Linked DNA regions of Stegostoma tigrinum. The protein of the gene in region 1 interacts with the protein of each later gene in a pairwise test. Links are inferred from orthologs where the notes say so. Each region holds a gene or a part of one and is shown in the gene's direction. Other genes may lie near its edges.

Evidence for each region.
Region 2: the proteins of ankrd40 (region 1) and ahcy interact in binary tests that used the Homo sapiens proteins (3 or more experiments, as listed by UniProt). The two-hybrid records come from large-scale screens. The link is inferred for Stegostoma tigrinum from reciprocal best matches to the Homo sapiens genes ANKRD40 and AHCY.

Annotation. Positions count from the first base shown.
Region 1 is NC_081375.1:6,718,329-6,726,358, reverse strand, and holds the start of ankrd40 (ankyrin repeat domain-containing protein 40), read left to right. Parts: upstream 1-4,872; 5' UTR 4,873-4,920; coding exon 4,921-5,051; intron 5,052-8,030.
Region 2 is NC_081372.1:144,318-152,358, forward strand, and holds the start of ahcy (adenosylhomocysteinase), read left to right. Parts: upstream 1-4,972; 5' UTR 4,973-5,054; coding exon 5,055-5,189; intron 5,190-8,041. UniProt on the Homo sapiens protein: Catalyzes the hydrolysis of S-adenosyl-L-homocysteine to form adenosine and homocysteine. Binds copper ions.

The DNA of each region.
Region 1 (8,030 bases):
CTGGCCTACATGTGACTCCGGACTCACAGCTTTATTGGTGACCCTTAACTGCTCTCTGGGAAATTAAGGTTGGGCAATCAATGCCAGCCTAGCCAGAGATGCCCTCATTCTATGAATGGATAGAAACAAAGCATCCAATTCACTGAGTCAAACCCCTTTGAAGCACAGAGGGTTTCAGGTTCCCAAGCCCAGCCCAAAACCCGGATGTAGGGCACCTCAATAAATACTACCATTCTAAAAGGGAGCAATAAGAATGTTTACCAGCAACAACTTATATTTATGTAGCACATTTAACATGATTTGAACAGGCCATTGCAGGAATAATGGGCTGAGTGGCCTCCTGCACCGTAAAAATCCTGTGATTCTGACAAAACATGCCAGGCACTTCTCAGGAGTGGTTTCAGGCGGATATACAGAACCTACATCAGAGATGTTTGGAACAAATGTCCACAAACAAGTTCAAAGGGATAGATTGTAAAGAGTTTCAGAGATAGAAGGAGAGGTTCAGATTGTAGATTTTAGATTTTGTAAAGAGTGATATTTTTGTAGTTCATTCATTCATAGGATGAGAGTATCGCTGGCTAGGCCAGCATTATTGTCCATCCCTAATTGCCCAGAGGGCATTTAGGAGTCAACCACATTCCTTTGGATCAGGAGTCAAGTTTAGACCAGACCAGGTGATAGCTGCAGTTTCCTTCCCCGAAAAATATGAGTGAACCAGATGAGCTTTTCCAACAATCAACTCATAAGACCATAGACATAGGAGTGGAAGTAAGGCCGTTCGGCCTATTGAGTCCACTCCACCATTTAAATCATGGCTGATGGGCATTTCAACTCCACTTCCCTGCACTCTCCCCGTAGCCCTTGATTCCTTGTGAGATCAAGAATTTGTTTATCTCTGCCTTGAAGGCATCTAACGTCCTGGCCTCCACTGCGCTCCGTGGCAATGAATTCCACAGGCCCACCACTCTCTGGCTGAAGAAATGTCTCCTCATTTCGGTTTTAAATTTACCCCCTCTAATTCTAAGGCTGTGCCCACGGGTCCTAGTCTCCCCACCTAACGGAAACAACTTCCCAGCGTCCACCCACCTCATGCACATCATTAGATTCTTATTGATTCAAATGACTGGATTTGAACCCAGGTCCTCAGAATATTACCTGAGTTTCTGCATTAACAAACCAGCAATAACACTATCAGGCCATTGTAAGGCAGATGACAGTGTTAATTAATAAATGGGATGTGATATTATTGCTATCACATGGATAAGGTTGAAGGAGGGACAGGCCTGAGCTCAATATTCTGAGACATAGAATCTTTAAGTGAAATGGGGAAGGGAAGTAAGAAAGAAGGTGCTGTCACAACATTGATCAAGGATTACTGTAATAAGGAGGGATGATACCTCAGAAGGTTTCACAAATGAGGCCATATAGCCAGAACTTAAAAAGATAAAAAAGCAATGACATTGTTGAGGCTGCCCTATATCTTCCTAGACAGTCAAGGGAGATAGAAAGAAAGCCATTTAGGCAAATCTCAGAGAAGTGTAAAAACAACAGGGTAATAATTGTAGGGATTGAATGAAAGCGCAGAAGACTCAGTGGGAGCAGAATTCCTGAAATATGTCCAGGACAGAGATTTATACACAGCACCTAGGATGTGTTCTTTATTTCAAAAATACGCTTTATATACAAAATATCTTTATACTTATACATAGTTACTGAAGCAGTTTGGTTCTGAACAGTAGCATATGAAGAAACAAACAAACATTGAAGTTTAACCCTATCCAGCAAACAAACCAAAAGCATTTCTTATTTGTACAAGATTATATTCACATGTAATTTGAGGCACCAGGATGGTCCAATAACTGAATGTCCTCATTTAACTTCAGCAGAAAGACCTCAGACAGTGGTCCTTCCCCACTGTGCCTTGGCAGCAGCTGCCCCAAGCTTTAGTGTGTCCCTCAGGACAGAATCCTGGACCTTGGAATGTGTCAGTCTGCAACACTCGGTCAAAGGCAACGCAGCATGTGGGAAGTCCTACAGAAAAGGAAATAGTGCTGGACCTCACTTTAGAGAATGAAGCAAGGCAAGTGGTAGATGAGGCAGTGGAGGGATGTTTCAGTGATAGTGACCATAATTCAGCAAGATTTAAGGGAAGGATCCAAAATAAGGGGTCTGAAATGAGCAAAAGCTGGTTTTAATAAGATGAGACAGAATCTGACCAAAGTAAACTGGGAGCAGCTTACCTTGCAGGGAGATCCCCAACAGAGCAGTGGGAGGCATTGAAAAGGAGAATGGTGAGAGAGTAGGGTAACATTTCCCTGTAAAGGTGAAGGGTGGGACCAACTAGTCCAGAGAACCCTGGATCTCAAGGGATGGACAAAGAAAATGAAGGAAGCTTACATCAGACACAGATGGCCGAGAACAAGTAGATATCCTATTGGAGTATAGAAAGTGTGGGGAATGCTTAAGAAAGAAGTTAGGAGAGCAAAGAGGGGACATGAAAAATCACTGTGGGTAACATTGAAGAAAATCCCAATTTTTAAAATATTTTCGGGGCAAGGAAATCACCGGGGAAACAGTAGGGTTCATTAGGGACCAAAGTAGCAACCTGTGGGAGGAGTTGGAAGTTGCAGGTGAAGTTTTAAATGAGTGCTTTGCTTCAGTATTCACTGTAGAGGAGAATGATGTAGGTATAGATATCAGGGAGGGAGCAGTGATACACCTGACTGAATTAGCTTTGAGAGAGAGAGAGGCAGGAACAACTTTAGTGGCTTGAAAGAGGATAAATCTCCAGGCCCAGACAAAATGTATCTGAGGCTGTGTAGGAGGCAAAGGCTCAACGTTATATTTCAAATACTCTCTCGACACAGGACAGGTGCCAGGAGACTGCAAAACAGATAATGTGGTTCCATTATTCAAGAAGGATGGTAGGGACAAACCAGGAAAACTATAGGCCAGCGAGTCTGACATCAGCAGTAGCAAAATTATTGGTAAAAATTCTGAGGGAAAGAATCAATTTCCACTTGAATGGATCTGCAGTAACTTGCTCCCCAACTTGAAGAGACATGTATTAATCAAGAATAGTCAGCAGCATGGCTTTGTAAAGGGGAGATCATGTTGAACAAATATAATTGAATCTTTTGAGGCTATGACTAGATGTATGGATGACGATAGTGCATTGAATAAAATTCTCATGGACTTCAGTAAGGCTTTTGACAAGGTCACACACGGGAATCTGGTTGAGAAGCTGAGAGCCCATTGGATCCAGTGAAAACAAATTGCATGTAAAGTTGAATGAGTGGCGGGAACCAGAGTGTGATGGTTGAAGATAACAAAGTGTGGAGCTGGATGAACACAGCAGGCCAAGCAGCATCTCAGGAGCACAGTGTGTTGGTTGAAGGGTGTTTTTATGCCTGGAAGTCTGTGTCCAGGGAACTTTCAGGGATGGGAGCTGGGCACCTTGTAGTTTGTTGTCTACATTAATGAGATAGAAATTAATGCAAGAGCTAAGAGGAACGACACAGCAAGATCGCACAGTCTCCAATTTGGACATGTGAAGAGCCAGACGAGTGACCACGCATGGCCTGAGGCTGAGTGGGGGAGGCTTCTGGAACTGGAAGTGGAGCAATAGGAGCAGGGGGAGGTGTTTGTGTGTTGGGGGTGGGGAGAGGACAGGGGGAGGTGTTTGTGTGTCGTGGGGGGGGAGAGGACAGGGGGAGGTGTTTGTGGGTCGTGGGGGGGTGGAGAGGACGGGGGAGGTGTTTGTGGGTCGGGGGGAGAGGACAGGGGGAGGTGTTTGTGTGTCGTGGGGGGGAGAGGACAGGGGGAGGTGTTTGTGGGTTGGGGGGAGAGGACAGGGGGAGGTGTTTGTGTGTCGTGGGGGTGGAGAGGACAGGGGGAGGTGTTTGTGTGTCGTGGGGGGGAGAGGACAGGGGGAGGTGTTTGTGTGTCATGGGGGAGGAGAGGACGGGGGGAGGTGTTTGTGGGTTGGGGGGAGAGGACAGGGGGAGGTTTTTGTGGGGCAGGGGCAGGGTGAGAGGAGCAGGGGGAGGTGTTTGTGGGTCAGGGGCGGGGTGACAGGAACAGGGGGAGGTGTTTGTGGGTCAGGGGCGGGGCAATAGGAGCAGTGGGAGGTGTTTGTGGGGCAGGGGCGGGGCAATAGGAGCAGTGGGAGGTTTTTGTGGGGCAGGGGCAGGGTGACAGGAGCAGTGGGAGGTGTTTGTGGGTCAGGGGCGGGGCAATAGGAGCAGTGGGAGGTGTTTGTGGGGCAGGGGCGGGGCGACAGGAGCAGGGGGTGGAGTTTGTTTGTCTGGGGCGGGGTGATAGGACCAAGGGGAGGTGTTTGTGGGTCAGGGGCGGGGCGATAGGAGCAGGGGGAGGGGTTTGTGTGTCTGGGGCGGGGCGATAGGAGCAGGGGGAGGTGTTTGTGGGGCAGGGGCGGGGCGATAGGAGCAGGGGGAGGTGTTTGTGGGGCAGGGGCGGGGCGACAGGAGCAGGGGGAGGTGTTTGTGTGTCTGGGGCGGGGCGATAGGACCGGGGGAGGTGTTTGTGGGTCAGGGGCGGGGCGATAGGACCAGGGGGAGGTGTTTGTGGGGCAGGGGCGGGGCGATGGGACCAGGGGGAGGTGTTTGTGGGGCAGGGGCGGGGCGATAGGAGCAGGGGGAGGTGTTTGTGGGGCAGGGGCGGGGCGACAGGAGCAGGGGGAGGAGTTTGTGTGTCTGGGGCGGGGCGATAGGACCAGGGGGAGGTGTTTGTGGGTCAGGGGCGGGGCGATAGGACCAGGGGGAGGTGTTTGTGGGGCAGGGGCGGGGCGATAGGACCAGGGGGAGGTGTTTGTGGGGCAGGGGCGGAACGATGTGAAGGGGCGGTGCCCGGGTTTGCGGGTGGGGTCAAGGGTCATAGGACGAGGCCTGCGGCGCCATGGCGGCCGATCCCAGCCTGGAGCTCGATGAGCGGCTTCGGGAGGCGGCGAGTCTCGGGGATTCTGAGCTGGTCTCGGAGGTGCTGGGCCGCGGGGCCCGAGTGAATGGGCAGAACGCGGTGAACGGATGGTGAGGAGCCGGGCAAGGGGGGGCCGGGACGGCAGGGAAGCCCGCCCCTACGTGGGGGGAGGGTCAGTACTGAGGGAGCGGGCGCTGTCGGAGGGTCGGTGCTGAGGGAGCGCCTCACTGTCGGAGGGTCAGTGCTGAGGGAGTGGGCACTGAGGGAGTGGGCACTGTCGGAGGGTCAGTGCTGAGGGAGTGGGCACTGTCGGAGGGTCAGTGCTGAGGGAGTGGGCACTGTCGGAGGGTCGGTGCTGAGGGAGCGCCTCACTGTCGGAGGGTCAGTGCTGAGGGAGTGGGCACTGTCGGAGGGTCAGTGCTGAGGGAGTGGGCACTGTCGGAGGGTCAGTGCTGAGGGAGTGCCGCACTGTCGGAGGGTCAGTGCTGAGGGAGCGGGCGCTGTCGGAGGGTCGGTGCTGAGGGAGCGCCTCACTGTCGGAGGGTCAGTGCTGAGGGAGTGCCGCACTGTCGGAGGGTCAGTGCTGAGGGAGTGCCGCACTGTCGGAGGGTCAGTGCTGAGGGAGTGCCGCACTGTCGGAGGGTCAGTGCTGAGGGAGTGCCGCACTGTCGGAGGGTCAGTGCTGAGGGAGCGCCGCACTGTCGGAGGGACAGTGCTGAGGGAGTGCCGCACTGTCGGAGGGTCAGTGCTGAGGGAGTGGGCACTGTCGGAGGGTCAGTGCTGAGGGAGTGGCGCACTGTCGGAGGGTCAGTGCTGAGGGAGTGCCGCACTGTCGGAGGGTCAGTGCTGAGGGAGTGCCGCACTGTCGGAGGGTCAGTGCTGAGGGAGTGGGCACTGTCGGAGGGTCAGTGCTGAGGGAGTGGGCACTGTCGGAGGGTCAGTGCTGAGGGAGTGGGCACTGTCGGAGGGTCAGTGCTGAGGGAGTGGGCACTGTCGGAGGGTCAGTGCTGAGGGAGTGGGCACTGTGGGAGGGTCAGTGCTGAGGGAGTGGGCACTGTGGGAGGGTCAGTGCTGAGGGAGTGGGCACTGTCGGAGGGTCAGCGCCGAGGGAGCGCCGCACTGTCGGAGGGTCAGCGCCGAGGGAGCGCCGTACCATTCATTTGGTTTGATTTATTTTTGTGACGCAAATGGAGATATGGTTAAATAGTATGGTTTTGTATGCTAACCAGACAAATCATACCTGAATAAGTATGTCAGGCTAATCGAATGACGAATATAGTCTTATAGCTGCAGAGGAAGATCAACTTCTAATATGAGAGGTCCATTCATAAGTCCGCTAACAGCGGGAAAGAAGTTGTTCTTGTATACGTTGGTAGGGTTTTAAGCTTTCATATCTTCTGCATGATGGAAGGCAGTGGAACCTGCGTTGCAGGATCCCTTCGTTATGTTTCTTTTTCTTTGGAAGGCAGTGGAACCTGCGTTGCAGGATCCCTTCGTTATGTTTCTTTTTCTTTATTCGTTTAAGGGATGAGGGCATCGCTGGCTTGGCAGCATTTATTGCCCATTCCTAATTGCCCAGAGGGCAGTTAAAATTCCACCACACTGTTGTGGGTCTGGAGTCACATATGTCTGGCCAGGTAAGGATGGCAAATTCCTTCCGTAAAGGACATTAGTGGACCAGATAGTGTTTTCCAACAATTGGCAATGGATTCACCATCATCATTAGATTCTTAATTCCAGATATTTATTGTATTCAAATTCTGCCATCTGCCGTGGCCGGATTCGGACCCATGATCCCCAGAATGTTATCTGGGTCTCTCGATTAACAGTCCAGCAATAATTACCAGTAGGCCATCACCTCCCCTAATGATGTTATAATTCTGATGTGTGAATAATTTCATACTTGTTTTGAAGAACATCAAGAGCGAGAGTCTGTCACGCTTAAACTTCAGGGAAAATGGCTGTGATCATGTTCGAGTGTTTCACCTTACATTCTGTTTTAAGTATAACACAAGTCTCCATCAAAATCTATTCTGTTGCATTTCCTTTAACTTTTCTGGTTGTTTAAGGAAATGCGTGGAATTTTACAGTATAGATGGAGGCCATGTGACCCTTCATGTCTGTACCAGCTCTCAAAAGAGATTCCCAGCTTGTCCCATTGACTGGTTTCCTGAGGCAGCGGGAAGTGTAGATGGAGTCAAGTCATACAGCATTGAAACAGACCCTTCAGTCCAACTCATCCATGCCGACCAATGTTCCTGAACTAAACTAAATCACACCTGCATGTGTGTTCCCCATATCCCTCTAAACCTTCCCTGTTTATGTACCTGTCCAAATGTCTTGTAAATATTCTAAGTGCACCTGCATCTGCTCCTAATTCTGGCAGTTCATTCCACAGATGAATGACCCTCTGTGTGAAAATGTTTCCCCCCAGGTCCCTTTTAAATCTTTCTCCTCTCACCTTAAAAATATGCCCCCTAGTTTTGAACCCCATGGCTCTCGGGAAAAGACCTTTGCTATTCACCCCATTGTTGCCCTTCATGATTTTATAAATTGTTATTAGGTCACGCCTTAATCTGGTGGATAAAGTCCCAGCCTAACCAATCTCTCCTTATAACTTAAACCCTCTGGCCATGGCAATAACTTGGTAAATCTTCTCTGAACCCCCTCCAATTTAATAACATCCTTCCAATAACAGGGCGACCAGAACTGTACACAGGAGTCCAAAGTGGCCTCACTAATGTCTCCTATAACCTCAACATGACATCCTAACTCTTATACTCAATGATCTGAGCAATGAAGGCAAGCGTGCTACATGTCTTAAACACCCTGCCTGCCTGTGATACAACTTCCAAAGAACTATGCCCCCAAGTGCAGAGGTCACTCTGCTTATCAGCACCACCCAGGACCCTACCATTAACTGTATAAGTCCTGCCCTTGTTTGCTTTGCCAAGATACATAGAAGATAGGATGAGGAGGAGGCCTTTCAGCCCTTTGAGTCTGCTTTGCCATTCTTCACGATCATGGCTGATTGTCCAACTCAATAGCCTAAGCCTGCTTTCTCCCCATAACCTTTGATCCCATTTGCC
Region 2 (8,041 bases), on another chromosome or scaffold:
GGTAAAGACTTCTGGTTTAAAGTGCATTTATTTCAACGTGCATGGCAGGAGTGGTAAGGCAGATGAGCTCAGATCATGGATTGCCTCTGGGTACTGGGATATTATAGCCATAACAGAAACATGTCTGAGAGAAGGGCAGGACTGGCAGCTAATTGTTCCAGTTTGCAGAAGCAACAGGCGGGACATAAGTACAAGTAAGCAAGGAGGGGGAGTTACTGTTTTGAAAAGGGAGGACATTACAGTGCTTAGGGAGGATATTCTTAAGGTGTTACAAATGAGGCCATATGGTTAGAATTTAGAAACAAGAAGGAGATAGTCACTCTTGGAATTGCATTATCGGCCCCCAAATAGCCTAGAGGAGCCAATGTGTAGTGAGATTGTAGATACCTGTTGGAATAACAGAGTAGTGTTGGTTGGAGATTTTAATTTCCTCTGCATTGACTGGACCGTCTAGAGTGTAAAAGGTCCAAATGGGGTGAAATTTGTCAAATGTGACCAAGTAAGTTTCCAAAATCGATATGTAGAGGACCTTACTCAGGAGGGTGCAACACTGGACCTCCTCTTAAGGAAACCAGGTCGGGCAAATGACTGAAGTATCAGTCAGAGAGCACTTTGGGCCCAGTGGCCATAGCACTCTTAGTTTTAGCGTTGTTATGGAAAAAGATAGGACAGGTCCACAGGTTAAGGTGCTAAACTGGAGCAGGGCCAATTTTGGGGCTGTCAGATGGGATCTAGCAGAGGTCGATTGGGTAAGTCTGTTTGAAGGAAAAGGAGTGACTGGGAAGTGTGATATCAAAAGCCCAGGGATAGGATGCCCTTGTTAGGGTGAAGAGCAAAGCTGCAGGTTTAGGGATCTCTGGCTGATGAGGGATATTGAGGCTCTGGCCAGGAAACTGTTTAACTGTTTGTAGGTAAATCCACATTTGATATGTGGGAGGCTTTTAAGGAGAGGTTGATTAGCGTGCTGGAGAGATGTGTTCCTGTGAAAATGAGGAATAGAAATGGCAAGATTAAGGAACCATGGATGACAGGTGAAATTGAGACTAGTCAAGAGGAAAAAGGAAGCATACATGACGTCTAGGCGACTGAAGACCGACGAAGCTTTGTAAGAATATCAGGAATGTAGAGCGAATCTGAAACGAGGAATTAAGAGGGCTAAGAGAGGACATGAGATATTGCTAGTAAACGTGGTTAAGGAAAATCACAAAGCCTTTTATTCATATATAAAGCGCAAGAGGGTAACGAGAGAAAGGATTGGCCCACTTAAGGACAAAGAAGGAAAGTTATGCGCTGAGTCAGAGAAATTGGGTGACATTCTTAATGAGTACTTTGCATCGGTATTCACCAAGGAGAGGGACATGACAGATGTTGAGGTTAGGGATAGGTGTTTGAGCACTCGAGGTCAAGTCGGCATAAGGCGGGAGAAAGTGTTGGGTATCTTAAAAGGCATTAAGGTGGACCAGTCTCCAGGTCCGGATGGGATCTATCCCAGGTTACTGAGGGACACGAGAGAGGAAATAGCTGGGGCCCTAACAGATATCTTTGCAGCATCCTTAAACACGGGTGAGGTCCTGGAGGACTGGAGACTTGCTAATGTTGTCCCCTTGTTTAAGAAGGGTAGCAAGGATAATCCAGGTAATTATCGACCAGTGAGCCTGACATCAGTGTTAGGGAAGCTACTGGAGAAGATACTGAGGGATAGGATCTATTCCCATTTGGAAGAAAATGTGCTTATGAGTGATAGGCAATATGGTTTTGTGCAGGGAAGGTCATACCTTAACTACTTAATAGAATTTGTTGAGGACGTGACAAAGTTGATTGATGATGGAAAGGCTGTAGATGTCATCTACATGGACTTCAGTAAGGCATTTGATAAGGTTCCCCATGGCAGGCTGATGGAGAAAGTGAAGTCGCATGGTGTCCAGGGTGTGGTAGCTAGATGGATACAAAACTGGCTAGGCAACAGGAGACAGTAGTAGTAGAAGGGAGTTTCTCAAATTTCTCAGACCTGTGACCAGTGGTGTTCCACAGGGATCTGTGCTGGGACCACTGTTGTTGTGGTATATGTAAATGATCTGGAAGAAGGTGTAGGTGGTCTGATCAGATTTGCAGATGACAGTAAGGTTGGTGGAGTAGCAGATAGTGAAGGGGACTGTCAGAGATTACAGCAGAATATAGATAGACTGGAGAGTTGGGCAGATAAATGGCAGATGGAGTTCAATCCGGGCAAATGCGAGGTGATGCATTTTGGAAGATCAAATTCAAGGGCGAACTTTACAGTAAATGGAAAAGTCCTAGGGAAAATTGATGAACAGAGATCTGGGTGTTCAGGTCCAATGTTCCCTGAAGGTGACAACGCAGGTCAATAGGGTGGTCAAGAAGGCATACGGCATGCTTTCCTTCATTGGACGGGGTGTTGAGTACAAGATTTGGCTGGTCATGTTGCAGTTGTATAGGACTTTGGTTCGGCCACATTTGGAGTACTGTGTCCAGTTCTGGTTGTCACATTACCAAAAGGATGTGGATGCTTTGGAGAGGGTGCAGAGGAGGTTCACCAGGATGTTGCCTGGTATGGAGGGTGCTAACTATGAAGAGAGGTTGAGTAGATTAGGATTATTTTCATTAGAAAGACGGAGATTGAGGGGGGACCTGATTGAGGTCTACAAAGTCATGAGGGGTATAGACAGGGTGGATAGCAGGAAGCTTTTTCCCCCCCAGAGTGGGGGACTCAATTATTAGGGGCCATGAGTTCAAAGTGAGAGGACGAAAGTTTAAAGGAGATGTGCATGGAAAGTTCTTTACACAGAGGGTGGTGGGTGCATGGAACGTGTTGCCAGCAGAGGTAGTTGACGCAGACATGTTAGCGTCTTTTAAGATATATTTGGACAGGTGCATGGATGGGCGGGGAGCAAATGGACCCAGACCGTTAGAAAATAGATGACAGGTTAGACAGAGGATTCGATCAGCGCAGCCTTGGAGGGCTGAAGGGCCTGTTCCTGTGCTGTAATTTTCTCCGTTCTTTGAAAAAGGAGGCATATATTAGGTTTAAGCCGTTGGGCTCAAGTGAATCCCTGGATGACTATAAAATGTGTAGGAGCGCACTGAAGAGGGAAATCAGAAGAGGTTATGAGATTGACCTAGCAGATAAGGTTAAAAATGATCCCAAGAGGTTTTATAGATTTTTTTTAGAATAAGAGTCAAAGGTTGGCTCGAGAGAGAATAGGTCCCCTTAAAGATCAGCATAGCTGTTTATGTGGAGTCACTGGAGATGGGAGAGATTTTTCATGACTATTTGTCCTCATTGTTTACTGAGGAGAGAATCATGGATGCTAAGGAAATAAAGGAAACTAGTGCGGATGTTTCAGATTAATACACATTAACGGAGAGGTGGTGTTTGCAGCCTTAAAGCGCATTAAAGTGGATAAATCCGCTGGGCCTGATCAAGTCCATCCTCACATTGTGGGATGCTAGAGAAGAAATTGCAGAGGCTCTTGCAATGGTTTTTGCTTCATCTTTAGTCACTGAAGAAGTTCTGGAAGACTGGAATGTGATTAATGTTTTTCCATTGTTTAAGAAAGGTAGCAAAGACAAGCCAGGGAACTACAGGCCAGTGGGTCTGACATCTGTGGTTGGCATGTTATTGAAGAGGATACTGAGGGAGAGGATCAACCAACATTTGGATAATCAAGATCTGATGAGAGTCAGCATGGATTTGTTCATGGGAAGTCATGTTTATAAATCTTTGAGTGTTTTTGAAGAGGTAATCAAGAGAGTAGCTGAGGGTAGGGCAGTGGATGTTGTCAATGTGGACCTTATTAAGGCCTTTAGCAAGGACCTGCATACAGGCTAGTCATGAAAGTTAGGGTACGTGGGATCCAGGGAAAGCTAGCTAATTGGATTCAAAGATAACAAGGTGTAGAGCTGGATGAACACAGCAGGCCAAGCAGCATCAGAGGAGCGGGAAGGCTGACGTTTTGGGCCGAGACCCTTCTTCAGAAAAAATAGGCCTGAAATGGCAGCCTTCCTGCTCCTCTGCTGCTTGGCCTGCTGTGTTCATCCAGCTCTACACCTTGTTATCTCAGATTCTCCAGCATCAGCAGTTCCTACTGTCTCTCATTGGATTCAACATTGGCTCAATGGTAGGAAGCAGAGAATGATGGTTGAAGGCTGTTTCTCGGACTGGAGGCCCGTGACGAGCGGAATGCCACAGGTGTCAGTGCTGGGACCTTTGTTATTTGTTATTTACATAAGTGATCTGGATGCGAACGTACAAGGCATGATTAGCAAGTTTGTGGATGATATAAAATTAAGAGGTATCGTTGATAACGAAGAAGGTTATCAAAATTTACAGAGAACTCTTGATGAGATGGAGAAGTGGGCTGAGGATTGGCAAATGCAGTTCAATACAGATAAGTGAGGTGTTGCATTTTGGAAAGTCAAACCGAGATAGGACTTGTACAGTAAATGGTAAGGTCCTGAGGAGTGTTGTGGGATAGAGGGACATTGAAAGTAATGTCACAGGTCGGCAAGGTGGTGAAGAAGGCTATTGGCATATTGGCCTTCATCGGTTGAGGCATCGAGTACAGGAGTTGGAACTAAGCAAAGCTTAGTCTGGTTGTTTTGCTTCCCTGTCAATATCATGCAATCTGTTTTAATTATTTGACTGCACTGCAGCAGCTTTGTACAACTGAGTGACTTGCTGACTGTTTGAGTGAACCGTATTTCTATAGATCAGAAACCATATGGAGGCTAGACCAGGTAAGGCTGCCAGTTTTCTTGTACTTTTGTACATCATCTGTGAACCAGATGGAATTTTTGACAGTTGGTTTCATGGTACTCTTACTGAGAAGAGCTTTCACTTCCAGAAGTCTTATTGTAAATTTTGAATTGCACAAACTCTCACTTTATGATTTGAACCTGGCATGAGGTTGGTTCTCTGGATTGCCAGCTTACCTGTACATATTGATTCTGTGTGAATCTTGTTTCTTTGCATTACAGCTGACATCACGTTGGCTGAATGGGGTCGTAAGGCCATTGAGATTGCAGAGAATGAGATGCCTGGTTTATTGATGATGAGGAAGATGCATGCGGATTCTAAGCCGCTGAAAGGAGCCCGGATCGCAGGCTGCCTCCATATGACTCTTCAAACTGCTGTATTAATTGAAACCTTGACTGCACTTGGAGCAGAGGTAATGTCAGCATAAATTGTACGCCAAAAATGTCTTAATTGACAAAATGTGTCTCAGCTGAGTTCTGCATTGGTTTAGAATGTAAATTAACTCTCAGGGAACAGCTCACCTCCATTTTACTGAACTTTGATCAGCTGATCCTTGGAAATTTCTAAGAATGAACACAGAACATTACAGCACAGTACAGGCCCTTCGGCCCTCGATGTTGTGCCGACCTGTCGTACCGATCTCAAGCCCACCTAACCTACGCTATTCCATGTATGTCCATATGCTTGTCCAATGACGACTTAAATGTACCTAAAGTTGGCGAATCTACTACCATTGCAGGCAAAGCGTTCCATTCCCTTACTACTCTCCGAGTAAAGAAACTACCTCTGACATTTGTCCTATATCTTTCACCCTTCAATTTAAAGCTATGCCCCCTCCTGCTCGCTGTCGCCATCCTAGGAAAAAGGCTCTCCCTATCCACCCTATCTAACCCTCTGATTATTTTATATGTTTCAATTAAGTCACCTCTCAACCTTCTTCTCTCTAATGAAAACAGCCTCAAGTCCCTCAGCCTTTCCTCGTAAGACCTTCCCTCCATACCAGGCAACATCCTAGTAAATCTCCTCTGCACCCTTTCCAAAGCTTCCACATCCTTCTTATAATGCAGTGACCAGAACTGTACACAATTCTCCCAAGTGCGGATGCACCAGAGTTTTGTACAGCTGCAGCATAACCTCTTCGTTCCGGAACTCAATCCCTCTATTAATAAAAGCTAAAACACTGTACGCCGCCTTAACAGCCCTGTCAACCTGGGTGGCAACTTTCAAGGAACTGTGTACATGGACACCGAGATCCCTCTGCTCATCTACACTACCAAGAATCTTACCATTAGCCCTGTACTTTGCCTTCCGGTTACTCCTACCAAAGTGCATCACCTCACACTTGTCTGCATTAAACTCCATTTGCCACCTCTCAGCCCAGCTCTGCAGCTTATCTATTTCTCTCTGCAACCTACAGCATCCTTCATCATTATCCACAACTCCACCAACCTTAGTGTCATCTGCAAATTTACTAACTCATCCTTCTACACCCTCATCCAGGTCTTTTGTAAAACTGACAAACAACAGTGGACCCAACACTGAGCCTTGCAGTACACCACTAGTAACTGGTCTCCAGGATGAAGTAACTGGTCTCCAGAATGCAAAGATTACATCTGCTATTTCCATGAACACCACCTGTAGTTGCCTTCGGTGTAGATTATCAGGGCTCAGGCATGTATCAGCTTTCACTGTGATTCATTTCTCCATTTCTCAATAATACTAATTTGTTTAAATTCCTCCTTCCTAATGGATCCTTGCTTCCTTGAATATTTCTGGGAAGTAAATTGTATCCTCTTCTGTGAATAAAGAACAGAAGTAATTTAGTTATTGTCCTTTTTCCTTCTCCATTTTCAATTCTCCTGTTTCAGACTTCTAAACATTTTCTGTTTATATATTTATAGAAACTATTACAGTCCACTTTTATGTTCCTTTCCCCCGCTCTGAATCAACGCCTTGGTCGTCCTCTGCTGAATTCTAAACTGCTCCCAATCCTCAAGGTTATGACTTTTTCTAGCAACTTTATATGACTCCTCTTTGAAACAAATACCATCTTTAATTTCTTCTGTTAGCCGTGGTTGGGTACTTTTTACCTGAAGTGTAGAAAATAGGTGCAGGAGGTTGACTGTTTGTGTGATCTCAGTATTGCAGTCCCACTTTCTCTCCATACATCTTGATCCCTTTACCTGCACAGATTCACGACTCTGAGTGAACAAGTTCTTCCTCATCTCAGTCCAGAATGGCTTACCCCTTATTCTTACATTGTGACCCTTAACTTTGTACTTCCCCAACATCGAGAAACATTCTTCCCGCATCTAGCCTGTCCAGCCCTGTGAGGATTTTATATATTTCTCAGAGATCCCCCCCTCATTCTTCTAAATTCCAGTGAGTACAAGCCTGGTCAATCCAGTCTTTCCTCATATGTCAGTCCTGCCTTTCCAGGAATCAGTCTCGTGAACCTTTGCTGAACTCCCTCAATAGCAAGAATGTCCTTCCACAGACCAGGAGACCAAAACTGCACCCAATACTCAAGGTGTGGCCTCACCAAGGCTCTGTACAACTGCAACAAGACATCCTCACTCCAATACACTCATCCCCTCGCAACGAAGGCCAGTGTAACATTAGCTTTCCTTGCTGCCTGCTGCGCCTGCATGGCGATGTTCAGCGACCATTCCACCATATCACCTGGATCTTGTTACACCTCACCTTTTCCTAAACTGCCACTGTTCAGATAATAATCTGCCTTCTGGTTTTTGCAACCAAAGTGGATAACCTCACATTTATCCACAGTATATTGTATTTGCCAAATATTTGTCCGCTCAGCTCGTCTGTCCAAATCACCCTGCAGCCTCTTAGCACACTGAGCACACACTGCCATCTAGCTAAGTGTTGTTTGCAAACTGAGATATTGCATTCAATTCTTTTGTCCAAATTGTTAATGTATACTGTGAATAGCTGGCTTCCCAACACTGAACCCTGCAGCACCCCACTTGTCGCTGCCTGCCACTCCGAAAAGGGCCTTTTTATTCCAACTCAATGCTTACTGTCTGCCAAACCATTCTCTATCAAAAATGCATTACCTCAGACATCAAGAGCTTCAATTTTCCTTACTAATCCCTTGTGTGGAACCTTGTCAAAAGATTTGTGAAGGTCCAGATATGCTATCAACTGTTTCACCCTTATCGTCTCTACTGGTCACAACCTCAAAAAGTTCCAGAAGATTTATCAAGCATGATTTCTCTTAGTGAATCCATGCTGACTTGGACC